Struthio camelus: one gene and its partners. The protein of the gene in region 3 purifies or fractionates together with the protein of the main gene of each other region. This does not show direct contact. Links are inferred from orthologs where the notes say so. Each region holds a gene or a part of one and is shown on either strand. Other genes may lie near its edges.

Evidence for each region.
Region 1: the proteins of CSNK1D (region 3) and VPS13B purify together in Homo sapiens (affinity purification with mass spectrometry; 3 studies listed by BioGRID and IntAct, counting the BioPlex papers as one, with this or other methods). This does not show direct contact. The link is inferred for Struthio camelus from reciprocal best matches to the Homo sapiens genes CSNK1D and VPS13B.
Region 2: the proteins of CSNK1D (region 3) and FAM83H purify together in Homo sapiens (co-immunoprecipitation; 5 studies listed by BioGRID and IntAct, counting the BioPlex papers as one, with this or other methods). This does not show direct contact. The link is inferred for Struthio camelus from reciprocal best matches to the Homo sapiens genes CSNK1D and FAM83H.
Region 4: the proteins of CSNK1D (region 3) and FAM110B purify together in Homo sapiens (affinity purification with mass spectrometry; 3 studies listed by BioGRID and IntAct, counting the BioPlex papers as one, with this or other methods). This does not show direct contact. The link is inferred for Struthio camelus from reciprocal best matches to the Homo sapiens genes CSNK1D and FAM110B.

Annotation. Positions count from the first base shown.
Region 1 is NC_090943.1:147,101,159-147,108,170, forward strand, and holds the start of VPS13B (intermembrane lipid transfer protein VPS13B), read right to left. Parts: upstream 3,011-7,012; 5' UTR 2,891-3,010; intron 2,218-2,890; 5' UTR 2,206-2,217; coding exon 2,059-2,205; intron 1-2,058. UniProt on the Homo sapiens protein: Mediates the transfer of lipids between membranes at organelle contact sites. Binds phosphatidylinositol 3-phosphate. Functions as a tethering factor in the slow endocytic recycling pathway, to assist traffic between early and recycling endosomes.
Region 2 is NC_090943.1:173,551,192-173,559,078, reverse strand, and holds the start of FAM83H (protein FAM83H), read right to left. Parts: upstream 3,003-7,887; 5' UTR 2,756-3,002; intron 1-2,755. UniProt on the Homo sapiens protein: May play a major role in the structural organization and calcification of developing enamel. May play a role in keratin cytoskeleton disassembly by recruiting CSNK1A1 to keratin filaments. Thereby, it may regulate epithelial cell migration.
Region 3 is NC_090960.1:59,052-66,402, reverse strand, and holds the start of CSNK1D (casein kinase I), read right to left. Parts: upstream 3,008-7,351; 5' UTR 2,593-3,007; coding exon 2,517-2,592; intron 1-2,516. UniProt on the Homo sapiens protein: Essential serine/threonine-protein kinase that regulates diverse cellular growth and survival processes including Wnt signaling, DNA repair and circadian rhythms. It can phosphorylate a large number of proteins.
Region 4 is NC_090943.1:136,081,387-136,089,221, forward strand, and holds the start of FAM110B (protein FAM110B), read right to left. Parts: upstream 3,019-7,835; 5' UTR 2,902-3,018; intron 2,657-2,901; exon of another isoform or gene 2,479-2,656; intron 1,996-2,478; exon of another isoform or gene 1,786-1,995; intron 1-1,785. UniProt on the Homo sapiens protein: May be involved in tumor progression.

The DNA of each region.
Region 1 (7,012 bases), on a different chromosome or scaffold from region 3:
GTGTACTTTGGAATTCTGGTTGGCCTGATAACAGGCGCCCCAGCATCATCTGCGCAACTGCAAGGAGTCAGGGGAGAAAACACAGATCTCTTCCCAGATCTGATATAAGGTGCTTTGTCCCGGTAATCTGTCAGCTGTGCTAATGTTCCCAAACAGTCATGTATAGCTCCACAGAAGGCTGGAATCTTCCAAAAAATATTCACAACTCCAGACAGGCTTTGGACACAAATGCATATGCCCTTGATATCACTAACTCATGTAATTAAGTCTGCATTCATACCAGATAAAGAGCAGGGAGTCAGGATAGAAAGGATTTTAAAAGTAAAGATAATCACAGGGAAAGTGACTAACTTTGGATATCCTGGCTCCATAGAGGTAGACAACCCAAATAAAGTAACGTATACTGGTAACTTCTACAGACTTTAGCATTTTAAGCAAGTTCCCTGCCAGCCGCAAAGACTGCGGGATGCAACATTACCATGTACAACATACTGAAAATGAGTTTGGTCAGGCAGGCATAAAGCAGCATCACTTCTGCAAGAGACACCCTAACAACACTCTGTGGGTCCAGTGCAGGCTCCAAAGTGTTGTAAATGCCAACTTCAGACCACTGCATTTCAAATAAACACTTAGCTAAACAATATTTTTAAGAAATTTGTTGAGCTCAACTTTGCATTCACTACATACTCGCATCCCCATTCAAGCCAATTTGAGTTGAACAAAGGTATGTGAAGCAAGATTTGCTTCATATAACAAGAGCTAAGACAGCAATACACTGCACTGGATATCTATATACCCAATTATTAGACAGGCAGGCAAAGAGGAGGCTGGGGGCACCTAAGCAGCAGACTGCAACTTTTTGAAAGGCAACTACACAGATGACACAGGCAAACTTTTAGTATGGTCAGGTAATACAGCAAGCCTAATACATTCATCTTCAAGTCACCATTTGTTATTAGGACAAACTTTCTCCCTGGAAGCGTACTACAGCACTGGAACAGTTTACCCAAAGAGGAATTTTTCACAATCAAGGCAGGAGATTCCAAGACTCAAGCTGACAAAACCACAGCTGACCTGACCTAATGGTGGCAGCAGTCCTGCTCAGAGCAGGGGGTCAGACTAGGTGACCTCCAGAACTTCCTTCCATTCAACACTTCTTTAATTCTAGGACATATACATTTAAAAATTCTCACCTTATTTTATCCAAAATTAAAACACAATCATTGTCTTTTTCAGTCTTCTTTCACAGGCCATATTGTCTAAATCTCCTATTACTTTTTGTTGCATTTCTCGCACCTCCTTCTGTTGGACTACATCTGGACCCAGGACTCTAGCTAAGACTCGCTGTCCCACGTGCAGTAGAGAACAGCTTTATCTGTCTCACACACGCAACTCCTCAAGCTATGAGCTCAGATAAGGATAGAAGGAAATAGTCCCTCAAGGTAAGTCTTACCCTGTTCATATTAACCACAGGCTCCAAAATTTGATATCAGGTGTTTTATTTCGTCAACATTCTCTTTTTAAGGCTAAGTTTTACAGCGCCTCTGAATGAATTCACGCAAATTAGCTGATAAAAACTATCTACTTGACTACTGTTATGTTTAGACACAACTGGAATGATAAAAATTGGAGTCATAAAACACTATATAGAACAAGAATCTGTGTTTAGTATGCATAATTTAAAAGAGGTCCTACTTCAGTTTGTTACATTTTGAATTAGTTACTATAGGCAATTAGTAAAATAAAACTGGGAAAGCAATTTAAATGTTTGTACTGTAAAACAATGCTCACTGAAAGAAGAAACGTGTACGTAAAGCCTTTCTCTTCACGCTCCATAACGTGCAGAATATGCAAAAGATTACCATTCATAATTAAACAAATGGCATGGAATTAACACAAAAATAACTAAATGAGAAGGGGGGAAAAAAAGAGAGAGATCTACATAAGAAGAAACACCATGAGTAATAAATGAATGTTTATCTGTGCAGACCAATGTAAATTATTTAGTCAACTTCTTTTAAATCAAAGACATATTGCATAACTGTAAACATATCATACCTGTTCAAGTACGTCCAATTTTAACTCCAGTTTACTAAGAACAACATCTCCTCCCCAGAGCGATAACTGTAGATCTGAAGGCTTTAAGTTTTTTATGTAGCGATTCACATAACTCATCAAAATAGGAGTTACATAGGACTCCAGCATTCTGGAAGATTTCTGTATTGCAGGTAAAGCACCAGGGAAAAGAAACAAAACAAAACAAAAAAAAACCTTTGAGATATTACTTACAAATCTGTCAGTATAATTTACAATAAAGCAACAGTCACATTGTTTGGCAATATGAAAAAGTATATTTCAAATTCCACTTTCTAAACAGAGTATGTGCGCAAACACATATACACAAACCTACACATAAAGACTATATCTATTTCAAGACGAAAACAGATCTACTTGCATTCATTAATTTCCAGCTTATATATATTAGAGCTAGTAACAGGCATGTTTATAATCAAAAGAAAAAAAAACAGAAACACAGAAGCAAGAGGACAGTTTACCACGCTTTCACATAAAATTTAAGAATTATTACAGGTAGATCCATACAAGCCCTGCCACTTTTAACTAGTGCGGGCCACACTAAAACATCACCTGAGAAACATGTCACCGACGTTACACCTCGAGTAACATACACCTAGCAAAAACGCCGTTCAGCTTGAAGCCACCCTTGCTTCGGGGCAAACCAAAACACGCCAGAACCCGAGGCGAACCTACGCTACCGTTTGACACCGCTCCCCCCCGACCCCCGCCCCGCCGCGGACTCCCCCCGCCCCGCGCCTCCCTTCCCCTCCACCCCCCGAGGAAGCCTCGCCGCCGCCGCCGCCCGCCCCCTCACCGCGGCGGCGGGGGCGCGGGAGCCCCGCGCGGGCTGCCCCTCCGCTCCGGCTCCGCCGCACAGGCACTTCCGGGTTCTGCGGCGCCTGTGTTCGCCTCCAGCGTCCGCCGCCTCCGGCTCTGCGAGAGCGCCGGGCGGAGCGGTTTGGTGGGAGCACCGAGGCGGGGCCGGATGTTGGGCTTGAAGCCGGCGGAGCTTCACGTCTTCTGCCAGGAGAGGGCGGGCGGGAAAGGGGGGGGGGGGGCCTGAACTTGGGAGGGGGCGGGGCTGAGGCAGCTCTTGCGCGCGCGCGAGCGCTGGAGCAGGGCGGGGCGGGGGCAGCCGTTAAAGGCGGCGGGCGAGGCGGGGCGGGGCGGTGGCGGCCGTTAGGGAGGTTGGGCGGGGCTGCCATGGGCGGTGGGAGGGGAAAGGCTGGGGGCAGCGAGGAGCGGCGGGGCGGTGGAGGCGCGGGATGTGGAGGCAGCAAAGCCTTCTAGGTCCAGCAGCCGTGTCTGCCGTTTCCTCACGCGGAGGGAGAGAAACAGGCCTTCCCGGTCCTTCTGCCGCGTTGGCTTAACTTACTGAGGTAGAAAACCTGAGGGAGGCTGCTTTGTTTGGGGGGGGGGGGGCTGTAACCCGTAATGAAACGAATCCCAAAGACGTGTTGCTGCCGTTGGCTGTGCGGCTCCAGCCAAGCCCCCTTCTGCAATTTGTCGTTGTGTTGGTGAGAGACTGCAGCAAGCGAACGTTGGGGGTGAATCTCTGTGGTGGCAAACGTGTCCTTTCCCATGTGTTAATAAAGAAACACCTTTAGTGTTTGGCTTTTGAGTGAGGTGCTGCTTAGGTTCACAGTTTTGGAAGTGAGAATAAAGTTAATAATAAAGGAAATAGTAAAGGAAATCTTTGGCTTTCTGCATGCCCAGAACCCTTCTCTATACATGGATTATAGAGAAATAGCCCTCCCCAACAGCCCGTAAAGATTTGATGTCTTGAGGGGTTGTTCCTGCAAGCAAATGCCTTGGACCTGCATCTTGAGGTGCATAAATTAATAGATTCCTTAAGGTTTGGCATGTGGATGATCTGGAATAGAGCATGGGCCTATGTTTTTTTCAGTGAAGTGCAATAGGCAGTGCCTGTAGGCATTGCTTTGATATAGATAATGAATAAGCTCTTACAAAGGCCTCTTCATCTGTTTTTTTTAAAAGGTCTGTGATGTGCCTGTTAAGTTTTATGTTCCTCATGAAAACTTAAAATTCTGCATGTAATCTGTACAGTGCAGTTATACAGCTGACAACAGAGAAGAAAGCAATATCTGGCATGTGAAGTAGGTTCATGTGAAGCAGGGCCTAAACAGTAAAATCTTGAATATCACTCAGACTACAGTGGCAGTATTTCAGTTGAAATCTGTCTGAGCTAATCAAGGCCTTGAGGCTGCAGTACATGATGAGTTAGCTATCCGTTCTGCCTCCAGTATACCCATGAGTTAATCATGAATCTACTGTGGTTTTAGATAAACCATCACCTCACTAGCTATGCCATATTCACTCTTGAATCAAAGCCCATACTTTTGTATACACTTCACAAACAGTTGAAGCAGTGCGGACTGTTTTTACCCTTATGATGAAGGTCACCACTTCCACAGCTCATACTAAAACAGAATTTTTAACTGTTCTTCGGCAGTTTAAATTCACCAACTGTGAGATGTTACCCTGTAACTGAGAGAAGGTAGTAAACAGGTAAGGGATAGAAACATCTTAACGGCATCAGTGATCACTAATTAAGGATGTGCTTCCAACTCGCAATTTCTCTGGTGTTAAGTTTCTTGATGGGGTTCCTGTTCATCACCACTACACACGTATGTCCCTTTGCTAAAATTGTGGGAGTGATGAGTTTTACTGATACAACTTTTTGTGAGACTGCACTGCAAGCCAGCTCAGTGAAATAATCTGTGTTCATAGAAGCAATCTCATTTATAGCGCAGCCTCCCTACGGAGTTACGTTGACACAACAGAGGTACGTGCCAACAGATAAAATGTAATGTTGAAGCACACCCTAAACATGCATCAAAAGCCACTGCATCCAACTTAAAAACATTGCTCCGTTTCTTTGTCTGTTACGTGATTACTTTTGAATGACACATCCAATCAACGCAGGAACGTTTTCTGAAAGTTGGGAATTGAAGAACAACGCCCTATTTATTTTGGTGAAAATCAGTAAACTGGAAGAAGAGTAGGGGAGACACGTAGTGCTGCTGGCAGCTGCTTGGCAGACCTAACGGCTCTGAACAACTCTGTAATTTTCCTGGCAGTTATTAGCATTTCATTGTAACTACCTCCATCTCAGTTCCAGTGCAAGTATGTTGACGCCCTGAATAATTTATTTCCCACAGCAGAAAAAAAATACGAAAAATAAGAGGAAAGGATCATGCGGGAAGCAGTCTTTCTAACAGAGGAAATGAGTGGCATGAAATGAAAGTAGCTGGAGAGAGTTACGTGAGGTCCTTAAAATACAAAGGGAAGAGAGAGTGGTTCACCAGGAGTTTGCAGGGTAACAGGCAGACAGTGTGAGTAATGAACCTGGGCCTACCAAAGCAACAAAGGCACGTCTGCTGCAAATGCCCGTGTAGAGCCACTGCCCGAGCTAACCTGGTTTGTTCAATAGCTCAGCAGTTCAGTGAAACGTGCAGGATGGTTATAAACAAAAAGTGCAGATCCAGTGATATGCACATCTTGCTCTTTCGTGTTGTTGTTTTCTTGAGTAATTCTAAATACATTAAAAGCTAACAGAAATGCATATATGTTAAGCTGGAGAGTGGGGAAAGGGTACACAAGGTTCTGTATCGTTTGGCCACAAGTGAAAAGATACCAGGACTTCCAGCAAATTCTCGGGAAATGTATCTACCTGCGCAAGATGGTATCTTGATAAAAGAGACTATAAGTATTTGTCTAGCTTCAGTGCTGCTATGTGTGATTTGCTGTTTTCTGCAATAGAAGCAGGATCAAGGCCTAGAAGAACAAAACAGAGTTCAGAAAAAAATGAGGAAAGATGAGGAAAGGCAGAGGATGATAGTGGCTATCCCATTCCCAGAGGCTGCAGTCAAGGAGAAAAACAAGGAAATTAGAGATTTCACTAGATAAAAAGTATTGTATAATGAAATTAGATCACTTCTGGCTTTTTTGTTCATAAACTTGAGCCAATCTTTTGAGCACCACTTTGGAAAGATTCCTGTTCTGACCTGGTACTTGAAAGATGTTGTTTTCCAATGTCAGAACTTGGGTGTCCAACTGCCTCCTGTCCATCAGATGGGCCAGGGCAGCGGGGTGAGAAGTTTTTGGACGTATGTTGGTCAGCCTGTTTGCAGGAAGTGAGAGAATCTGAGGTAACTCCCAAGGAGGTTTGGGGGGAAACCTGTGAGGAACTCCCCTTTTTTCACTGAAAGAAGTTTTCTAATCCTGTAAGCTTCTCTTTCACTATGTCTCTTAGCTAACATTGGGTACCTTTAATAGGTAAAGTGAACTGGCAGACTGCTGTTTGTCTGTCCTGTCTGTCCTAGGGGATGTTTCTACCTGTCCTGGTGCGTCCAAGTACAATGGTGCAGATGCAGGTAGTGGCCCGAGGAGCCATCGGTCTACCCATGAAGAAAAGAGGTTGCTATTTTGTGATTCTTTATGTGGCCTACTGAGATGCCCCATAAATGGCATCAGGTTGACAGCACAGAAAGAGTTGGTGACCCTAAATAAAGAATACTGAGATATTTCAGAATCGTCTGTGAAAGAAAAAAAAATGACTTGGGCTGCTTCCTCCTCTTCTCTTTTAGGTGCTAAAACTTGGACTAGCTAATTCGTAGTTTATAATGTTTCTTAACAGTCATTTTTCTGTTTTTACTCTCATTAATATTAAATTTTGCCTGCCCCATTTTACTGGGAATTTCCTGATCATCTGACTAAACTGACTAAAAAGTACATTTTGGAATTGCATCGATAGACAGAAGGAATATAAATCAAATCCATTTCTATTAGAACTACATTATTTAATAATGATGTCGTATTTCTATTTATTACACCATCTAAAGCTGTCAAAGAAGTGGGAAACAAAAAAGTGCAGTGCCATTTTTCTTACTATAGGGTTATTTTCAAGTTCACC
Region 2 (7,887 bases), on a different chromosome or scaffold from region 3:
TTTCTGTTTGAAAGATGAAAATATTGCAATTGGTTTTTCCTGTTAAAATGTCACATAAACAACCCAAAGCCTTCTCTTCTGGTCATCTGATCAGCCTCTACTGATCACCCTAAGTTAGAGCATCTGAGTGAAGGCTGTCCCATTCTTCACTCTAGATGGTTTTGCACGAATCACAGCCATCATTTAAAAAAAGGATATATCTGCCTGCTGTAGTCTAGGAGTTTCATTCTATCTGAAGTCATGGTCATCAGATGAGAAATTACTTGAATTCATGTAATCACGTCAATCACTGAGCATCCAACAGATTACCATTTTATCTTCCATATTACGTGCATTTGCCAGCTAACCCTATGGACTGGTATAATAAACTCTTTCAGGGTCCAAGGGGAGCAGTGAATGTACTGAATACTATAGGCATGCAGCAGAGCAGAACTGGGAGCCTAGTCAGCACATCAGAACCCCTGCTGGACTCCCACTTACGTCTGCTTTTTAGTCAGTGCAAAGGATCCCGCAAAATGTTATTTGCTGGAGAATCAGGAAATTACCCAGATATTTAGAATGTCCAGGGATCTACCTACAGGCCAGAGGAAGAGAAAAGTAGCAGAAAAATTACATGTCGTAATTTTCCTTTTGAAGTGGTTGTTGAGACAGCATGTCAATCCTAACTGTCTTATGCAATAAAGAGTATGCAGTGGCATGCGCAAATCCAGGAGGCAGACAGCCACTAGGGCAAAACCTGATGTTTACAGCTAGTTACTTTCTGCACACTGAAAACTGGGGAAATTAGATTCTGCATGCAAAAGGGGCCTCTACAGAAAGCAGATTACCTAAAGAGATAACAACACTCATGCAAAGCTTACCCTATTTCAATCAATCCCCTTCATTGGATTTATATCTACTAAAGAGGAGGTATAAGGAAGTCCATAAGAGAACTGCAAGAAAAGGTCCACCAATGTAAGGTATAGTTTGCAGAAGGAAATTCCCCACTGCGTGCTGCCCTTGGCCTTTTACCCTCCGCCCCCATCCCCAATTACATTGTAGAAAGCCACTCATGGAACTCCTTCATTAGGGCTATGATAATCCTGCCAAATGGGGTCTGATAAGCAGTTGAAAAGTGTTCCATTTACCCATAAAATACAAAGAAGTCCAATCCTGCAAGATTTTGACGTGGATTTTAGTTGCTTAGAAAGTTGTGACTACGTGAAAAATGAGGTAGAGAACATAGATGCCTCTGTCCTGAGCCATGACAATGCCCTGGCACAATCAGACCAGACTGCGGTGCGTGGCATTTTCATTTTTTACTTTGATATGCGATTTTCTCTACAACCACACAGTTATTGTAACTTTTGTTCCCCACCGAATATCACCATTTCCCCTGCCAGGTGACAGCAAATACAGCTCTTGGTCTCTCAAATACAATTTTCTAAAGCCCCTCAGATAAAGGGGAGCACACGGGAAAAAAATCTTTCTTCCCCCACCCTGAAGTCCTGTAGACCTGTAACATGGTGAAGGCATGCTATGGTTTTTCTGTCTGCTTGCTATTTTACTCCTTGTCCAATGAATACACATATTATTGTAGGCTATGCCAAGAAATCTGGGGCCACCAGTGTTCTGCACTGTATTTGTCACTACTCTGCTTTGGAGCTAGTTTGTTGCTTAAAGCAGTTACTCATTTATCTTTGGCCTCTATCACAGCTGAGCTTATTGCAGCTTTCATGAATTAAATGTTTTCAGCAGAAGAATGTCACTGTAAATACTGCTGTTCCTCTCCAAGCACCTCCTCTCCCTCTAACTGTTTCAGAAAATTGAGAAGCTTGGTCCTCGGGCCAGGCAAAAGCCACAGTTGAACTCCATTGACCTTAATCAATTTAGAGTGCCAGGAACACAAGACCTTCCCCTTCCTCTCTGTGCACATAGAAAACCTAAGCTCTATCAGACAGGCTCATATCTGTGGAAAAAAGGTAGTGAGTATATGCGTGTGTGCCTGTGCATGCATGTGTCCATGCGCATCTGTCTGTGCTTTTGCATGTACGCACACGAATGTCTGTGTCGCTGCTTGCAGGCCATGTCAGCAGGCAACTACACACCCATGCATGTGGAGCGAGGTCAATGCAAGTAAACGAGCAGTGGGCCTCAGTAGCTGTTTCCTGTCTCCTTGCCTACCTCATGCCTTGGCCTTTCCAGCCCTACCACCAGTGAAGTCCTCTTTGTCCCAACCTCCTGAGCAGATGTCCCTACAGTGTTTCCTACTCAAGGAGAAGGCCAGCTCCGACTCTAACTTGGGATGCAGAGTCAGGCTGTCTGATCTCCTCCCAAGGACAGGGATAAGTTAGGAAATAGCCACTCCTCGGGGCTTTTTCAAAGGACATGGACACAGGTTTGGTGAAGTGCTCACTGAGCGGTTCTGCTCAGGCTACCTGAAGGCTGACAGGTCTCTTCCCTCGCCAGCCACGATGCCTGCCATCTCTGCTATGACATGCTCCCTCCGCCCTTGCCTCTGCCATCTCCTCCTGGGACTCACCCTGTCACACCAGGGCAGTCAAGGCATGGCTGGCAGCTCCTGCTGCCAGAGCTTTTCCCCCTTGCAGCAGCAGCCATCTCGCCATCTCCTGTCCCAGACCGCTTGCAGAGTCCCAGCCCCAGATCCCGAGCGCCCAGACCTGTGCAGAGGGGTCAGGACAAGGCCTCCCCAGCCCCTGCCTGCTGCCCCATGTGGCCACTCACGTACCCCAGGGGGTGCCTGCACTTCTCCTACCTTCCCAGGTGAGCCAGGGCAGGTGGTGGGTCGTGCTCTCGGCTCTCCGCTCCCCTGGACGTGCTGCCTGATTCACAGGCACCTCCTAGCCAGCGAGACTCAAGCTCCACCCAGGGCAGAGGGTGAGTAAGAGCGAGAGAAAGGCAAACTCTGGAGAGTTGTTCCCTCCCCAGGATTGCAGGGGAGCGAGAGATAAGGGCTGCACATTCCTGAGCCGCAGGCTGCCTCTCCCCTTCCGTCTGCGCTGAGCCTGTCAGACCAGCTCGGGCCTGGCTCGCGGAGCAGGCCGGGGAGCGCGGCCCAGCACTGGCGACGGGGCGCAGACCCTGTCGCCTCCTTGGCCCAGGCGCCGCGCAGCCCAGCAGCCACCTTGGGAAGGAGGAGTGGGCTCGGCAGGGACTCTAGGGTCTGCTCTGCCTGCGGTTTGGCCTGGCTAACTGGGCAGTGGCAGCATGGCAGCAGGAGCGCCTGGGGGCGCAGGGCCCACGGCCTCCCTCTGCCGGGGGGCGAGGTGGCCGAAGGGCATCTCAGGGTGTAGCACCCCAGTCCCTCCGTCTCCCTGCTCCCCACCATGGCCCGTCGCTCACACCCTGGCCTCACTGACAGAGGAGCAGCCGGGCTGGCACGGCGGCCTGCTGGCATGGGGAGGGAGCAGGCCTCGCCCTGAGCCCAAGGGGGCCGGGGCCGGCTGCTGGCACAGGCAGAGAAGGGTTAAGCGAGATTCCCCGCAGCCCCGGGCGCGGCAACGCCTGTTACTTTGCCTTTCATGTTCTATCTTATTCAGCCTGGCAGCCGGGGCGCTGCTGGTGTGCCGGGCGGTGCCCGACCGATGGCGGCTGCGAGGGCGGCGGCGGTGACTCAGGCCCGGGCAGCCCGGTTCTGGCGGGCCCGGGCACTGCAGCGCGGGGCGGGCCGGCGCGGGCGCCATGTCATGGGCGCAGCGGGGGCCACGCTGCTGCCTGCCGGGCCACGGCGGCCCTGCCTCCCTCGGCCTCACAGAGCTCATCCTGCCGGTAGCACCTGATTGCCTGCAGCTGAAAGTTGCACAGACAACCAGAAGAGACCCTACAGCAGGAGACAGCGGAGGAGGGGGTCTAGGTGTTTGGTGGCTGAGGGACAAGCACTGCAGAAAGACCTGCCGCACGCGTGGTATTGTCAGCGTGTAGCGAATACGCACATGCAGAACAGCTAGTGCATACCCTCACATCCCATGAGCTGCACTCCCAAGTGGTGCTTCCTACCATCTATTCATGTACCTGTATGATAGGTTAATATATGTATTATAAAACGTAGTTTAATATTAAGGTGCCATGGTGGGGGTTCCTCAGAATTTGGAAAATAATCTAGATTAAGGTTGTCTAAGGGTCATGAATCTGTTGTCTCTCATTTCTGCCCAAAAGTATGTGCATCATGTCACAGCTTTCAATCGTCCTTTACTGTGTTGCCCTGGGCATTATTCACCACATGCATTTAAACACCACATTGAACAGAGTTATTAACTTCCATGTAGGTGTTGCCATGCTGTTCATCAGTATGCTACTGGAATGCTTCGCAAATATTAATTAACTTCTCAGTACTCAATTGGACTGTGATGGTGTGATTATCCCTATTTTGAAGGAAAGGAACTGGAGCAGGAATATTAAATTTAAAATGGCCCACTCGCTTTCAGTGCTTAGTTCAAGATTTCAGGAATCACACCTTTTAGAGTCTCTAGCAAGTGGGGATATAAGGAATGCAAAGTGGATGGCCATCTATACAGATAGACCATCTTAATTCCGTCATTTCCTAATCTTTCAGTGATTTCAGCTTCAAGTATCTGCTTTCCAGTAGCACATTATCGTGTGAATGAATTCTCTACTGTGTCTTATTCTTTTCTCTTCCTCTGCTCATGGCTATAATTGTGTATATCCTAGAATATTTTCTTTGATAGGGCTTTTATGTTCTGTTCTTGTTTACAATCTGGAGGTTGCTAACTTTGTTAGAAAAGGCAAGATCAAAGAAGTGTGTTTTGAAATATAAGTAGGAATAAGCAAATTTGTGCTCTGATAGAAAGTGCTGCTGTGCCACTGGGATGGTTATGACAGTCTCTATCACAACCTAGAATATCAGGTGATTTTTGTATGTTCTGTGTGCACACCTTGAAGGTAAGGAACACAGCTTAGAATTTGGTGTTTATCCAAGAGAAGACAGTGCAAAGAGTACTTGGCCAGTTTGATGTTCTTGTGGTTAACACATTGCTAAGGAAATATTCTGTTGTATTCTGTGAAGTTAGTCTCTAAGGCCTGATTGGTTCGTGCAGTTGTTCAAAAGCCTGAATAATTGTGGTCAAGTCATCATCCACTGGGATGGGATGGAATCCTCTAGATAATCAAACACAGGAAAAAGTATTAGTCATTGTTGCTATTACCTGAGAGTTTAACTTCAGAAAGAAATCACAGAATACAGTCATAGAATAACTTAGATTGGAAGGGACTTCTGGGAGTCATCTAATCCAGTGCCCCCATTCAATGTGACCAGATAGGTCAAGTTGCCCAAGGCCTTGTCTGGTTGGGTTTTTGAGTATATCTGAGGATGGAGATCCCACAGCCTCTTTGGGCTCCTATTCCACTGCTTGACCACCCTCATGGTGAATTTTTTTTCTAAGCTCTAACTGGAATTTCCTTTATTGCAGCTTATGTCTGAGAGTGTGATAATATATCTAAACTACCCTGATTGCTCCAGTTGTAGGTGTGTACCTTCAGCCAAGGAAGTGTACAGCTCCCTCAGCACTCGTGGGTGTATCCCCATCCGGGCCCATGGACTTGTGGGTGTCAAGTTCGCCTAAATGATCTCTAGCCCAATCCTCCTCGACCAAGGGAAAGTCTTCCTTTCTCCAGACTTTCTCCCTGGTCTCTAGGGTCTGAGATTCCTGAGGGCTGGTCTTAGCGATAAAGACTGAAGCAAAGAAGGCGTTCAGTATCTCTGCCTTCTCTGTATCCTTCATCACCGCGGACTCTGACTCACTCAGTAGCGAGCCCACATTTTTCCCTAGTCTTCCTTTTGTTCCTGATGTAATTGAAGCAGCCCTTCTTGTTGTCCTTGACATCCCTTGCCAGATCTAATTCCAAATGGGCCTTGGCCTTCCTAGTTGCATCCCTGCATACTTGGACGACGTGCCTGTATTCATCCCACGTGGCCTGCCCCTGTTTCCCCCTCTTGTACGCTTCCTTCTTCTGTTTGGGGTTTGCCAGGAGCTCCTTGTTCATCCATGCAGGTCTCCTGCCCACTTTGCTGGACTTCTTGCTCATTGGGATGCACCGTTCTTGAGCTTGGAGGAGATGATCCTTGAATATGAACCAGCTCTCTTGGACCCCTCTTCCTTCTAGGGCCCGATCCCATGGGATTCTTCCAAGAAGGTCCCTGAAGAGGCCAGAGGTGGCTCTCCTGAAGTCCAGGGTTGTGATCCTACTTGCTGCCCTGCTCCCTCCTCACAGGATCCTAAACTCCACCATCTCCTGGTCACTGCAGCCAAGGCTGCCCCCAACCTTCACATTTCCAACCAGCCCTTCCTTGTCTGTTAGTATAAGGTCCAGCAGCACGCCTCTCCTCATTGGCTCCTCCATTGTCTGTGTCAGAAAGTTATCATGAATGGTCTCCAGGAACCTCCTGGATTGCTTGTGCCTTGCTGTGTTGTTCCTCCAGCAGATATCAGTGTGGTTAAAGTCCCCCATGAGAACCAGGGCCTGTGATCGTGAGGCTACTTCCAGCTGTCTGTAGAAGGCCTCATCTACTTCCACTTCCTGATCAGGTGGCCTGTAGCCAACACAACAGTGTCACCCATGTTAGTCTGATCCTTAATCCTTACCCATAAGCTCTCAACCCATAAGCTCATCGCCCATCCCTAGGCAGAGCTCAATACATTCCAGGTGCTCTCTCACGTAAAAGGCGACTCCCCCTCCTCTCCTTCCTGGCCTGTCCTTCCTAAAGAGCATGTAGCCATTCTTGACAACATTCCAGTCATGCGAGCTATCCCACCGTGTCTCTGTAATCGCACTGAGATCATAGCCCTGCGACTGCACACAGATCTCTCATTCTTCCTGTTTATTCTCCATGCTGCATGCATTGGTGTACAGGCACTTCAGAGAGATATTTGAGCATGCTGATTTTCCAGAAGGGGTGCAAGAGGTTTCCCCATAGTCTTGTCTTGTAGGCACTTCCTTGTGTGCCTCAAACGCTTGAGGTATCCCCACATGAGCCCTGTTTTGCTGACTGCATGGTCTCTATAACTCTCCCCTTTCCCTGTCTTTCCTAGTTTAAAGCCCTCCTTACCAGGTCGGCCAGCCTGTTGGCAAAGATGCATGTGCCCTGTTTAGTGAGGTGGACCCCCATCTCTCCCAGTCAGTTGTAGATCATCAAACAGGGTCCGGTAGTCACAGAAACCAAAACCCTGTTGCCGACACCAGCCAGTTGTTTACTTGCCATCAGTATCCATCTACTCCTCCTCCCATCCTTTCCCCTCACTGGCATGATTGTGGAGAAAACGACCTGGGCCCCCACACCCCTGACCACTGTCTCCAGAGCTCTGTAATCCTGTTTGATACTTTCCAAGTTGCTTTTGGCAGTATCGTTGGTTTTTATTTATCTAACATCATAACCTTCATTTGAATGTTGATTCAGTTTCAATTAAATGTAAAGACAAATAAAAACAGGTCTGTATCTAAAATGCTCACTTTAAAAAAAAGGAGAAATCCTGACAAATTAAGAGAGAGTGCAACTAGTCAGATTCAGGATTTCAAGGACTTGAATATGAAAGGATCCTGGAATTTCTTTAAGACAAAATTGCTAAAACTGTTGTTCAGCGCTGGCAGCAGAGAACTGAACTTAATTCAAAGGAAGGTTTTTTTTTTTTATGATCAGACATAGAATAAAGTCTCCTTTACTTAGCAAAACAAAATTTAAAATTGCATCTTTTCACTGGTTCTGAGATTATTCAGGAAAAATATTGTTGGTTATCTCCTGTGTGACCGCTTAGGCCCATTAGCCTATTATGCCATTATTGCTTAACTGTTATTACTACCATCTGTTTTCCAGGCTGTGTTTGGGAAGTTAAATATTTCCATAATTCCCAATGGCATTTTTCTCTCTTAATACCT
Region 3 (7,351 bases):
GGTGCCCCTTGTTTCGTACTATTTAGAATTTCTAGTAATTCGTGCTACTCTTTCATATCTTCCACTGGAGGGTAATCTTAATAGATGCAGGTACATTACATTCCTAAATTTTATTTTCACTAGGTTTGTCTATTCTTGTATTTAAAATAGTGCCTAAGATTATTGTGGTAGAATGGTAGGACCCTACCAATTAGGGGGCATTCCAAATTCCGGAAGACACATTTTGAGGTGCAGGGGAGAATGGGAAAGATTATGAAAGAAGTGTGATAATCAGGAATGGTTAGCTCTATATTTGAAAGAAAAGACATAAAGAAAGAGCCGTCTCTTCTCAATGGACTGTCTTCAACCCCCTGTAACTTCATTAAAGAAACTACAGGAAGACTGGAAAATGGCGGGGGGGGGGGGGAATTAAGCATAAAATTAAATTGGGAACCTGAAATCTGATGAGGAATATTGGAAATCATTTGTACTTCAGAAAATTAATGAGAACTGAGAGGCTTTAAAAAGTTATTTTAATGTAGTTATGCCCTACTGTACAGTTTGAATAACTGAGTAAACTTTATTTTTTTTTTGTTTTAAATGTTTCATATCACACACAGCACAGATTTTAAAAATAACCTCTGTTTTAATAGATTATGTTAAGCAAACAAAATGGGCCTCTATAAAAGACTGCCACATTTCAGTTCTTGAAACAGCAATTACCCCTGGAAAAAGAAATATATACTATTAGCTGGATCTCTCAGACACATAATTCTCTACTAGTTGCTGACTCAATCATCACATTTGCAGGAAGCCCCGAAAGCAAATCCACACTGACTCCTCAGAGATCAAAGAGGATAAAATCTAAGGATGAGCAATTCTTGTGCAAAATGCAGTATGGCAGTAGCTCTGTACTAATAAATACAGAACTATTATCTCCTGTGCAATTTTTCTAGTGTAGGCTCTACGCATGAAGATAAAAGTGACAAACAAAATATCTATCGTTTCCAATCTAGCTACCGCACACAGGACAGTAACAACAGAGTTGCCTGATTTCTTTTTATCAGTTAATTTGGATTACAAATTAAAGTATGAATATACCGTACTTAAATGTGACTGGATTTACCTGAGTAGTCAAAAACTGAGGTAAGAGTATCCCAGGTCAGCTAAGATTTTTCAGATTTTAACTGTTGTCTTAATCTCCACCCAAAACCCTAAAGGTAGCCAACAAAGATTTTGCATAAGCCTTATCACCATTGTTCTCACAGCAGTCTTCAGTCTTTTACATAAGCCTTAGAGAGAGAAAGAATGATGTTCTCTGCCTCTAGACAATCCACAAGCTTTCTGCTAGAAACACAGAATTTCCAGCAGGCATATGTTCTATATCAAGGATAACCAGTATCTGGGTAACGTAAACAAGTAGCTTTCACTAACGTTATTTCAGAACGGCAACTGTGTGCTGCAATACAAAGCACTGTTGTCTAGAAAAAAAAAAAAAAAAGACAGCTCATGTACTAGGTATACTGCCTAATATACTACATGCATTAGCCAGTGACTAATTCTTTTTACCCTCCAGACATATGCAGATAACCTACCATGGCTCCTGTAAGTCTTTTTCCATGTCTTTGGATGCGCCTTCTGAAAGTTATCACAACTTTCAAAAGCAAAATGCTCACTTTCATGTGGCAGTATATAAAATTTACATTTGTCTGGATTTACCTGACTTCCTAAGGTTTGATGGTTTGTAGAACGGAGTGTTTTAAAAACACACGTTTCAGAACTTGTTGTACACACCGCTGCTTATCAAATGGTTAGTGAACCACTAGGATGGAAAGCTACAAAAACAGACAGGAAAAGACAGTCCTAGTCCTGCAAACTTTACAGTCACATAGAAATCACGGTAGCAGAATAAGATGTATGCATTAAGATGTAAGGGCAACATTCAAGCAACAGGATAGCTGAACTATGCTGATTCTATGAAGGGGTTAAAATGTTTTTAGCTCCAATCTAGTCATCCTTAGTTATCTCATTTGTTTAGGCCTCACTGGAAAACCATAATCCTCCCTGTGACAGCAATTTCTCCTAGTCCACTGCAATTATATTTATTGCAGAGGGTCACGTTTCTATTTCAAAACATTTTTCTGAATGGTTTTTCAGATGAAGGGATTGATATCCTTATCCACGTTTTACAGATGAGCAGGTTGACGGTGCCCAAGGTCACAAGACAACAATGGGAAGAGGCAGGCATATAATCCAGAAGTCCCGATTTCCGCACTGTCTAAATTAGGACATGACGCCAACGAAAAATTAAGTTATTACTGCACCAGCGGCAAGGTACCTCATATCGAAAGGCATTTTTTGGTCTGTGCTCCAGCGAGAATGAAATGAGGTCCCGGGAGCAGCCCCCGACCCAACCTCAGCGGGGGGCAGGGTGCAGGCGGGAGCTCGAGCAGCGCCCGGCCCGGCCCGGCCCGGCTCACGCAGCTCTCCACAGAGCGACAGACCCGCCAAGTATGTCCCGGGTAAGCCCTCCTTACCCAGGTAGATGTCCCCAAAGGAACCGCTCCCGATCTTCCGGCCCAGCCGGTACCGGTTCCCGACCCGCAGCTCCATAGCGGCAGCTCGCTCCGTCCGCGATCCTGCCCGGTTGCCCTGTCCACCCTACCGGCTCGCGCTCTGCCGGCTCACAGCCCTACGGTTCCTGATGCCATCGCGGCCTTGGTCCCGCCGCGCGACAGTGGCGAGGCAGGCGGCACCAGCGCCGCAGCTCCGCCGGAGGATGGACGCGGATTCCCCACAGCCCCGACACCTCAGCCCCTGCGGCCCAGAGCCGCCATACTGCGTGACCTCACTTCCCTAGCAACGGGGGTGGGGCGCGCCCGCAGGCAGGGCGGAGGCGCCGCCGCGCGCGAGGAGCCGTGCCGCGCGGGTGCCGGCCCGCGTCACGTGTCCCCCTGCGTCTTTGCCGCGCTGTTTTCGGCCGCCGCTGCCGGCCGTGAGGCCCCTTCGCGGGGAGTCTTTCGCGGCGCCACTGGCTGCTGCCGCATCGCGCCGCATCGCATCGCGCCGCGCCCTGGGCCGGCCGCCCCGCCCCAGCGGCCTGCGTCGGGCCGTGCCGGACGGAGGGAGCGGCCCGCGGCCTGCCGCGTCCCTCTTCCGTAAAGACGTGGGAGGCTCTGCGGTGGAGGTGGCAGTCCGGCTGTGCTGAACTGGGTTCCGAGGAGTATTGGTGTGACTGTGCGGTGTCTAGAGCAAAGTCTGAGTCATGTCCATCAGGCCCTGCCAACTTCAGTGGTGAAACGGCGATCTGAGTCATCCCTGCTTGTGAACAGTGTCTGGACCACTTCTGTGGCCTTCTGGGGGGTAGAGGGTGACTTGAGTGGGGAGAACCACCTGTGTCTGTGCGGGTGTGGGAGACGAGTGGTGGGAGAGTGTGTTTCTGTAGGCCTATTTTCTCGTTTTCTTGCAGCAATGCTGCTTGAAAGCACTGCTTTTGACTGGCCAGTGGTCCTATTAAATTGGATGAATCAAGAAGTAGCCTTGTCTGATGGCACCTAGGGAGCTGCATTTGCAAGTGAAGAGATAGACTGTGAAGCCAGCCCCTGGTGTGAGCACAGGGGCTGCTGAATGAGCATGGCTGGGCTGCAGATGACAGTGGACTGTGATGTAAGAGCACTGGGAGTGCTAAGGATGGTGTATGTGCTGGAGGTGTGGGGTGGCAGAGGGATGGAAAGTAACGGTTAGTAGGTTTCTTGGCAAAGAGTCTCTGACTGCCTCTGACTACCTACTACAGTTGTTTCATATACTGTCCATGTGCAATGGCAAGGGAGAATTTTTCCCTCTCCTGTAACTGAGCAAACTGTAAAGCCTGTATCTTGGAGACACTTGCTTCCTGCCACTAATATTACTGAATTGCAGGGTTTTTGGGTTCATTCTGCCTGGGTGGTGCGGCAGGTCCCAACTGCGTGGGCAGTGATGCCTGAGTTGTGTGCCAGGCCTAAGCTGCAGCTGCCTGTCTAGCAAGAGCTGCAGTATGCTGCTCAGAGATGAGAAGTGGAGCTGAGCAGCAGGACTAGTCTAGATGGCTACCTGTGTTTTAGTTGTTAAGAGCCTGCAGTGTAAGTGCACAGTGAGCAGTAGAGTCAGAGGATGCATGCATTAGGCAGCTCTCGGCACCATCTTGCCTCATCAGTTGCAGGGCAGAGTATACGGTGCCTTTCCCTGCACGAGCAAAGTCTGGGTCCTGCTTCATAGAGAATGATCGAATACCAGAACAATTGGTTTCTAGTCAGGATGTGTTGTCACAGAGAGTCATCTGGGTGACCTGGGGATTGTCCTGTCATGTGCGGTGGAAAGGGAGCATGGCCTCATAGGATGGCTGGGTTGTGAGCAGGTGAAGGTTAGGGCTAGGTGAGGGCAGCTGGGATAATGTGCTATGGAGAAATATGGAGATAATACGGAGAAAAAAATGAGCGTTTTTTATTCCCTGATAGGAAGAACAAGGTGGTTAGTGCCTATGGAAATCATGTGCAAGTACGTGTCAGTTTTGCTCAGGGAGTGCTTGTAGAACACTGCAGACTCAAAACTAGAAGGAATCTTTTTACTGAGCCGTCTCTCTATCATGCATGGGATCTCTGGGTTTTGGCCCGTGGCAGTGCTGAGATGATCGTGGTTCCCCGCGACGTCCTACGCCAAGAGGAAAAACTATGCTGTGTGGTACGTGCTAGAACGGATAAAAGCAGAGTAGTGCCCTTCTTGTTGTACGCATCGGGGAGCACTCTGTGTGCCCTTGGCATTACGGGTGTCCTGACTGTCTGGGCAGAACTAGTAGCAGAAGCACATATGCAGTCAGGTCAAGTGAGGCCGACAACCAGAGACAGGGAAGGAAACAGAGCTCTGTTAGTTGGGGTAATGAAGCACATGTACAGGTTGAGGTGTGAATTGTGAATTGCTTGGGTCGCGTCAAGTTACATAAGGCAGTGAAGGTTTAGGGCGCAATGGCAGAGGCAAGGGGCTCTACTTGTGTTCATGAAAATGCAAGCTGCGTTGGTTCCTGCTTAGGTAAACAACTTTGTGCATGCGGAGGAAGCTGCGGTGCTAGTATGGAAATGGAAATGGACAGGAGGCTGTATGTAATGCATTAAAGAAATGTCTTTTTTTCCTCCAGTCTTGGCCTTGTTTCTTTTGCAGTAGGAGGCGAGCTGAAGATAGGAGTAGAACTGTCGGTCACAGCTGACTGATGGAGTTTCCAGGTTGTGCCCCTGATTTTCACCAGTGTGCTTGTGGGTATATTGAGGGAACAGTGACTCTGTTGGAAACCCTGGGATGAGTTCAGCAAAGTGTGGGAAGCTGCATGGGAGGCATGGCAGGGAATATGGACAGAAAGGAGCTTGTTTCTCGGGAGTGAGGATGTTTGCGTGGGAAGAATGGGCCAAAGGGTGGAGTTATCGGCAAGAGATGCTAATGCAAAGGCCAGAAAAATCTAGGGGGCAAGAATTGGTTGAGGGAAGAGGCTTACTGTGCAGAATGAAGTGATTTCTGAGTTTGTTTTTTTCCAGTAGCAGGATCAGCTAGGATCAGCTGGTACCTGTCTGTGTGAAAGAACAAAGTGAGTGTCCATTAAGGTGAAACAGGGTTGTGATGTAAGCTGTTGGTTCTACAGACTGCTGTGTGGGGTCTTGACTGAGTTATATTCCTGTGACTGGAGCTACAGAAGAAGCGTGAGAAAAGTTGTAAAAGTTCAATTTGAATAAGACACAATTACTGCCACCCCAGGTTAATTACTTGGGAGTTGTAATTGGAGAAGCAGGAAGACAGATGCATAGAAGAAATATTAAAGTCTTGTATGTAACTGAGTGACATTTTGTTATGCAAATAACTGGATAGCGATGGGGAAATTCCAAACATACAGTTTTACTGGAGAATACACGTATGGCAGAGCAGGCTGAAGGTCTTAATTGTGTGTCTTGTTCAATGTTACAGGTGCCAAAGACTGGATGACGCTTGGCAGAGGCGATCAGCAGCAGAGGGAGAATCCTGTTGATTCCTGTTGTGGCTCAAGTAACATCAAACACCTCTTTGCTGAGTCGGTGACTCAGGCACAGGGCTGTGGGTGTGTAATCCAGGCCACTCCTGCTGTCTGTTAGTCTGCAGTAGTGAGAAAGCATCCCATGTCTCTCACTGTCCTGGCCAGACTCAGTCTCCTGTTTGAGTTTTGTAGAGTCACAGCACTCCATGTTCCCATCCCAGTAAGATAAGCACAAGCTAGCCCTTGACTGCAATTTATTCTCAATTAATGCAAATGATGTTAGATTCCATTAAGGGAAACAGCAAGGCCTGGCCAGGCAGCCCAAAACCCGCTCGGCTCCATTGCTGGCACTGCTGGATGTCAACGTAGCTCATGCTGTATTGGGGTCCCTCTTGCTGCCCGCAGTGTGACTGTGGTGACCCCACAGACCCCAAATACTCCAAAAACCCTGCCCAAAGCTCCTCCTAATGCCCAAATGACCCAAATCCAACTCTCCACCTTTTCTTCCTCTCCCTGTCACTGTCCAGCTCCCTGTCTCCCCCCCTCCCCTCCTTCACTCCCAGCCCTTTTGTTTGGTGCCCTGTAACTCTCTCTGGCTCCCCATCCTTCTTATTCTCTTGCCGTGCTGCTGTTCTGTTCACCTCTCTTTTCCACCCTATCACTCTCTCCCTCAGTCTGTCTCCCCAACCGTCTTGTCTTTGCTCCATCCTTCTATCTGGCACCCCTTCCCACTTTTCCTTGTTCTGTACCGCTGTTCACCTCGATATCCCTCTTCTCCTGCTCCCCATCCCTCTGTCCATCCCTTTGTCCATCTGTGTGGCCCTCCATCCCTCTCTTTCTGTCCCTCTGTCCAGCTCCCTGTCCATCTGTCTGGGTCTTCATTCCTCTCCTCCTTGTTTCCATCCCCCTGCCCAGCTCACTATCACTGTCTTCCTCTCCCCTCCATCTGGCTCCCCATCCCTCTCTTTCTCTCTCCATCCCTTTGCCTCTCAAACCCTTCTTCCCTTTCCATTCCTCTCTTCCCCCCACCCCACCCCATCCCTTTGACTGCCTCTGTATCCCTTTCCCTTTTCATTCCTCTCTTCTCTCCCCTCTCCCGCCACCCCTCTCGCCTTTAGGGCTGAGATGGAGCAGATGGAGTGTGCACCCTTGCTCTTGCAGGCACAGATGGCCTGGAGGTGTGAGGAGGTGGGCTGGCTCTCGAGCAGGATTTTGGCATGGCATCCCCTTGGGGGGGGGGATAGCTCCTCTGTAGCATGTGCACCCAAGGGTGTTGGTAAGTCACTAGAAGACAACAAGCAGCTGCCAGTTATAGAGCTAACTGTTTCTTTGCCTTAACTAAAG
Region 4 (7,835 bases), on a different chromosome or scaffold from region 3:
CGGAGAGACCAGAGACATTCCTTAATCACAGTTCAAAGCTACGCTGTCTAATTCTGTGCAGGCTGTAAATTTAAGCCTCAGTTACTAAGCATTCCATTGCAATTAATGGCTAAAATTTTCTCTATGATATTTCAGTGTACTGCTTTTCAATCTAATCATGCCACCACTTGGAAACATACCTATGAAAGCACACTAAAAAAAAAAAAAACACAATAACTTCCTTTTGTTTGCCAGCAGTGTGTCAAATATGCTTCTGGAACCTTGAGCAAGCAAGACACTTTTATATGTATGTATGTTTTAGAATAAATGCAGCTATTTTTTGAAGCAGTTGACTAGTTCTTTTGCCTCATTAAATAAGTATTACCTCTCCAAAGTCTGGAGAAGAACACAAGAAGAACATCAACAAAAAACCACCTCATGTCCACAGCAAGACCGTACCTGTACTAATCATCTCCAGCAACAACCTGGGATCGGACACTGCCAGCACGTCACAAGACTGTAAGCGCTAAGTACTAAAGTAGGACACAGAAAGCACCACTCTGGCAAGGTGACGGTGAATGATCTCTCTATGAACCTGCAAAACACTGTTTACTTCTTAGCTTTAAGTTATAATACAGTACATCTGTGTAGAGAAAATTGTGAATTGCACGAGGGCAATTTTACCCATTTTACAACTGACTGTATTTGCTGGTTATACCAGCAAACCAGTTACATCAAAACAGTAAGTTATATTAAAAAATATATATATCTATTACTAGTACATCTGCATCTACACGAAGGAGCTGCGAGGAGAAGAGCGCAGCACCCGCCCGCTATCTCCTGCCCAAAGAGGTCAAAACCCCACAAAGGGGAAACTCAATATTGACACACAAAATAGCAATGAAAGCAATAAACCACCATGTAAGATTGCCTTGCCAGGGAACGCAGCTCCGCCCTGCCTCCCCAAAGTATACTACAGTATACCCTGAAGGCCCACTGGCCATCTCTGTGCCCCCCTCCCATGGCCATGGTCAGCATGGCTTCCTGGTGGGCACGCAGGGCACTGCTGGTGCCTTCTGCTTTCATGACCAGTCTCAGTAACTCAAGCCAAACATTTACAGAAACGGGGCTTTATTCACCCATCCTCCAAAAAGAAGATGACAGCACCAAAAAGCTCTGCAATTTTCAGAAAAAGCTATTCACTGTATTAGTTGGATGCAAATAAATAATATGGCACTTCTTTACTCTGAAAGCATTTGTAAATGTTTTATTCTGTTAGTTCCAGGTCAGTTTAGTGCAAATGTGTGGTATGGATTACATTGACCCTTTCACAGCTCCAAGCATTTTTTTAATAATTAGGACACAGCATTAGACACAAGTCAAGCTGTGTGGTACCCGGTGGGTGCACACCAAGAACAACAATTGGGCTCCACAGACAGAACCAGGAACAAGTTGTTTGAGAAAACATGGTTCTTATTACACATTCAAGCTCGTATGCCATAAATCATAAATGCCAAATCTGTCCCAATACGATATTAAATCAAAATAGGCATTTTACAGAAGATGGAAGTTGAACTGACGTGACCTTTGCAAAAATCACCCAGAAAATTAGGGACAGATTGACAGACAGAATGAGTACTTAGAGCTAAATGATAAAGAGTTTATATTAAAGCCACACATAATCTTCCTGCCTACAAAACACAACAGTCCTATCATGTTATGCACAAAGGAGGTGTTTCATTTTGTCTTAAACATCCAAATACAATTGCAGACCCTAAATAAAAGCAATAGTAGGGAACAACATACCATTACTCATGAATTCAAGTGTAAGTAAGTTAATGCTCTGATGGCACAGAAGTTAATTCACCAGTGCCAGCTCTTTGAAAGTTGTAACCTTCTCCTCTGTCCTATGAACTCCCATGTGCATCAGAACATAAGACACTCAAGTACGTTTTATAGCACTGTACAACTAAGCAACTTCATTGCTTTCCCTTCATTTGAGAGAGTCATCGCAGCCCTGTCTGAACAAGGGAGGGGGGAGGGGAGAGAGTGGGAGGAGGAAAAAAAAAACAAAACAAAAAAAGAAAAGGAAAAAAGACATTTAAGTGAAATACCCTTGGGATAAGTCTTCCCTCGTGTAAAGTTTTCTTTAGGCCAGATTATCGCTTGGAAACTAAAGCGGTCAGGAGCCCAGCCGCAGCCAGGCTCGACTCCGCGCCGGGCAGTGACAGCTGCGCGCAGACCCTGCGCGGGGCGCGCGCCCGACCCCGACCCCGCGGAAGGAGCCATGTGCTCGGCCCCGCAGCCCGCCGAGAGGGCACCGACGGCAGGAAGTTCACGCTTCTCCTCGCCTCAGGACAATAACTCCGAGCGGCTAAACGGCTTGCTACGTTCAGCTTCTCTCTCCTAGGCCATACACCTTCCCCTGACTTCAGAGGGGGGGAATTTCTCAACAGCCAGCCCACCCCGCCGCCGACCCGACCGCGGGGCTGCCCTCACCTTGGGGACCTTCTGCAGCCGCCGCCGCCGCCGCCACCTCTCCAAAGTTCAGAAGTGATAGCAGTCGGCTCTGTTTTCACGCCGACACCTACGCGGGCCCCTGCGCGGCCCGGCGGCGCCCACGCCGGCCGCCCCGCGCGCCTCCGCCACGGCGAGAGCGGCAGCGCCGCCCGGCGCAGGTGGGCGCCTGGGGCCGCCTCCCTCCCCCCCCCCCCGGCCCCGCACCCCGCCTCGCCCCGGCCGCGCTCCCAGCCCCTTCCCGGGGGAGCCCCCTCCCCGCCCCCGCGGCAGCGGCGGGGATGCGGCGCCGCACCGGGAGGCGGGCGGGGGGGGGGGACGGCTGCGGGACGGGGCCGCGCTGCGCCCAGCCCGGGCCCCCCCCGCCGCCGCCGCCGCCGCCGCCGCCGCCGCCGCCGCCCTTACCTTCCTCGCCAGCCCGGCGCGGGAGCCGCTCGGAGGGCAGCGAGGCGAAGCCGCGGGGAAGAGCAGGGAGCCGGGGCCGAGCGAGCCGCCGCCGCCGCCGGAGGAGGAGGAGGAGGCGGAGGCTCGGCAGCGGAGGGAGGAGACCCGGGGGGGGGAGGCGGGGGCAGCCGCCCGGCTGGCAGCCGCCCGCCGCGCAGCCGGCGCTTCCTGCCGGCACGCCGCCGCGGGAGCCGAGCCGAGCCGAGCTGGACCGGGCCGGGCCGCCCGCACGGCGCTCGGACGGCGGCGCGGCCCGGGCTGGGGCTCGCTGCCACCCGCTGGGCTCGGCCCTCCCGTGCCTGCAGCGTGCACAGGCGAGCTGCCTTTGTTCGAGAAACGCGTGCCCGGGAGAGCAAGGCTGGGCTGGGCTGGGCTGCTGCCGGCAGCGCCCTTTCGCCTCGGCAAGGCTGTTCTTACGGCCCTGGAAAACACGAGGCAGCTCCGCTGAGGGTAATTGGGATCTGTGATGCAAACCTCGCTCACCGGTGCCAAAGGCTGCTGCGGATGCAGCGCTGAAGTCAGCCTACACGCACTGTCTCAGGTGCCTGTTTATGCCTGAGGAGATGGCTGCTGACTCCTCTGTTAAATTAAATTTTTTTATTGCGGCGGGTAGAAGAGAGCGTGAAGGCTGGCTTCTTAGCATTCCGCACTTTGCAGCAACCTGAACTATAAAGAATGAATTTCAGCTCCACCTTTATCCCGTGCTCAGTGTTAGTTCATACATTTTCTTTCACACGTTGCCACTCATTCGCCAGATGATTTACACATCCAGTTGCCCGCTGATGGCTTGAATTCCCTTTTTTGCAAGCAGATCTTTTCAGTGTTCTTTCCACAAACGTCCTCTAACCTCCCCCAGCCTGATTTCAGCTCCTCAATCCAGGTACTCAGGTCAACACTTGCTATCCCTTCACGCCAGTTACAACAGTGGAAAGGGGAGCGATCTCCCTTGCTCACTGCTCCCTTAGTAAAGACATAAACTCTTGTTCAAGGACTTCCCCAAAAGGTAGTTAGACTTCAGCTATCCATATAGAAGGGGAACAAGTAAAGTTGTTCAGCCTGCAGGACCACCTACAAGTGACCATTTAAGAAGCTGAAGATGAAACGAAGCTGGACTGTCCCAGGGTTGTCAAGGCCATGCATTACTGGTGAGCTCCTTGGCACCAGGCAAAGTCACTTTGATGTGGCATGGACCCTAAAGCAACAGGCGATCGATATATTGGTGCAGATAGCTGTTAGCCAGAAATTGTCTGTAAGGCCTGTGAGATGCCTGCTGCAAGGCGTATGCGTGTGGAGTGTGGGGAAGAAGGGAGCACGCAGCACTTGGGCTCTGTGACGTGGCTGGAAAGGAACCTCTGCTCTCTGCACGTATCAGCATGGCTGAATTGGAGAAGGGCAAAAAAACTGTGTCTAGAACCTTGATTGCTGTAGTCATCTTGAGGGGAAAAATACGTTTCTTTCATTTTTTATTTACAAAGACAATAAGGAAATGGGATTGATAGCCTCCTGAGTTTAAGGAAAAAAGTCAGAAAATAGAAAATAACATAGAGAAGCCTGCCCGAGCTGTCAGGCAGCTTTAAATGAAGCCAGTGTGCTAGAGACATAAGCTACATCATGCATCCAAGGCATTACCAAGACCTGCTCACTACATTATTCACTGGGGCAGAAGTCCACACACCAGCCCCACACCCGATGCTGAAGGGAGTGCCAGTCACACAGTAGGAGGTACGTTTGCCATACATTTTATACACAGACATGTCTCCTCATGTGCCGCCGTTAGAGCAGGTGCCAGCGTTTTGTGTGTCATTCTTGAGACTGGAGGAGTAGCCTAATGTAGCTCATCTCCATCGGCATGACAAATTAGATGGTCTGTCCTGGCCAAAAGAGTCCCTGGTCAAAACAGAGGCTTCACAATATTTTAATTCCGGTTCATTATGCAAACATTTTTAAAATCTAGATATGTGTACAGCCCTTCTGTTGTGTCCTTGCTGATGAAACAAAAGCTATCAAGCTGTTTCTTACACTACTAACTTGTAACGTTTTCACTCCCTTGCATCACATGATGGATAGCTTTATTAAATTATGCCACACTGCACAGCTGCTGCCTCTGGGAAGAAACATAGGATAACACAATTAATGTCTCACCTTTTAATTTTGATACAGCTATTAAAATGTGATCTTCAGTCTCACCATCAAGATCAATGACAACCTAGCCACTGTCTCAGACAGATGACCAGCTCATTAAAGCAGCGACGAGAGACCTCCCAGCTGCTCAGCAAAACAAAGATCTTAGCTGATCATGAACACCTACGGACTTCACCATGTTCCAAATCCTGTTAATAAAAACCAGCACCCTGGCCATAGAACAACATTTGGGGACATATTAAATCATTATTCTTGTACGCAGGCCTTTGCATTTTAAAATGCTGCATCCCAAGTGGCTCTGGATTTACAAATAATATCTAAGGTGAGAATCTGATTCTATAAACATGCACATACCTGATTAATCTCATCTACTTTAACAAGACTACTCAATAGGAGTAAAAGAAAGCTTGTGCATAAGAAGTTGGGCTGTCTGGAGCTAAGCTAAGAACCTTTGGAGATGAACAGAAAATTATCCAGTTCCAGTCTGACTCTTTTTTACACTTACCTAAGAACAAGTAATTATGAAAGGGATTAATCTTGTCTGTCCTGTAAAACATTTTGCAGTTTTCGAAGTTGATGAGCTACACAATTTTAAAAAGCCACATACTGATCATAGCTGCCAATTTTTTTCATTGTTCCCCCGAGCAAAACACACTTCCTAAATCCATATTCTTGCAAGAGAGCCCAAGAATACAGTATTTGTAGTTTACTCAGAAATAGCTGATACTATTTACAGTAAAATTGTGTTAACACTGGTTCTCAAGGTCATGTTCTCATGAAGCACAATATTACTGAAGACAAGCTCTGTTCACCTCGAATAACGCGTCACTATTGCTCACACTGTTTGAATGTGCCATCAGCAGTGAGGCTCCATCTCACATCTGCTTCTAAACCGAAAGCCTGCTTGCTTGCATTGAAAGAGAATTTCAGCTATATTTTGACAATCAATATGCCATTCGCAAAGAAGTGAGTCCTGGATCTATCCTGCTTGTGTAAACTTATGTATAATGGTCAAAATGCATTTCAAAATTCAGGCTCATGCCTGAATTACAGCAGCAGTTGTGCTGAATTAACTGTGGTAACTGAAGTACTGACTGCTGCAACTTTCCACCTTGCCCATCTGCTGGGATGGGGATGAATAGTAGCATGTATTTACTCCTGAGTCCCTTCAGTCTGTAAAGCCCAGGAGGTGTGAACTGGAATCAGCAGCAGCCAGCGTTAATGTGCCAAGCTGTAACCTGCAGCAGCTACACTGACAACAAGCATTTTAGTATACTCCTCAGTTGAATCCACAAGCGAGAAATAAATATGATTTTCTGATAGGTAGCCTGTTCTGCCTACTCATCCCACCTCAGCTATACCTGCCAAGATAGGCATCAGATGGCGGGAGAGAATAACTGCTTTAGCCATTGCAGTGGAATATGCCCGGTACTGTGGACCATTGAGCTGCATGTACACACTAAGCAAAACTTTCTGACCAGTATTTCACCAAAACAGATTGAGTTTTCCTTTCCGTCTCCCAAAATGCCCAGCTGCTCTGACAAACAAGATGGTGCAGGACTCTGTAGTCCCACTGGAGGACCTGCACTGGAACGCGGGGCAGTATATTTTTCCTTAATAAGCTTTGATTTCTGTAGGAAAGTTGGACAGTCTGTGAGCAATGTGTTATTGGGGGCTGTTAACGCTGCAAGTATTTAGGTGTGCTGGGAAAAAGTGTTTTTCCAGTATTGTCTGAACTGTGGGCTAATGGCAGAGGAGAGCGCGGAGAGTTAAACTGGCTCGCAAGTGCTATCGTGTTGAAACCAGAAATGAGCCAGCGACTCCCTTCTCCACTCCCTGAAGTTCTCAGCTCTATGTAAGAGGGCTCCCAGTTGTCTTCTCTCCATCACTGCATTCTCCCTGTCAGCTTGAATTTGGCTATGTTCAAGATCCAGCGCAAGGCATTAGCTTTATTCTTCTCTGCTATCACTTTGGGCCTCATATATGAGGTTAACGCTGTATTGACTTTGCAGCGTTAGAAGCTGCATAGCCCAGCCTACACGGAGGAACTGAAAGGTGTGAGGACATGACTATATCATTTGACATATTGCCTCAATCCATGCAAGCAGAGGAACGGAGAGGCAAGTCTGCTCCTTTTCTCTACACACACATACTTTGGGTGCTTACACCCATTACAGCTGAGCCAGACAGATATCAGTTCTTTAATTAGGCTTGTCCTTTTAAGTGCCCCAGGAAAATTATTATAGGAAATACTATATGATTGCCCAAGAACAAATGAGATGTGGTTTTAAACACCCTTCATTACTAACGTTGCATAAGCAGTCTAACAATCAAATCTAACAGTTTGTTATCATAGTTGCAATCCCTTTGGCTTAGCAGCAACAAGATGAATAGCTTGTCATATCTGTTCTCAGCAAATAGCTGCTTGCCTTTGTGAACAAAACTGTCAAGTCTGATTCTCCATACACATTTGAAAATTATATCCATTGGTTGTGTGTCCTACAGCATACTTAATATGCTACCAGTGGAATATTACCTTCATAGCACTTTTATATGTTACTGAAGTCATGATATTGTCAAATAACAAGTACCTTGGAAACTATGGCTTGACTTCACTAATGTCTCCTATGGACCCCTGATGGAAAACATGACTATTATCTCATTTACAAACGTTCAAACCTAGCATGTAAATGCACTCCAAGAATGATTGCTTTGATTACTCCATTAAACAAGAATCACATGACCTTATAGTA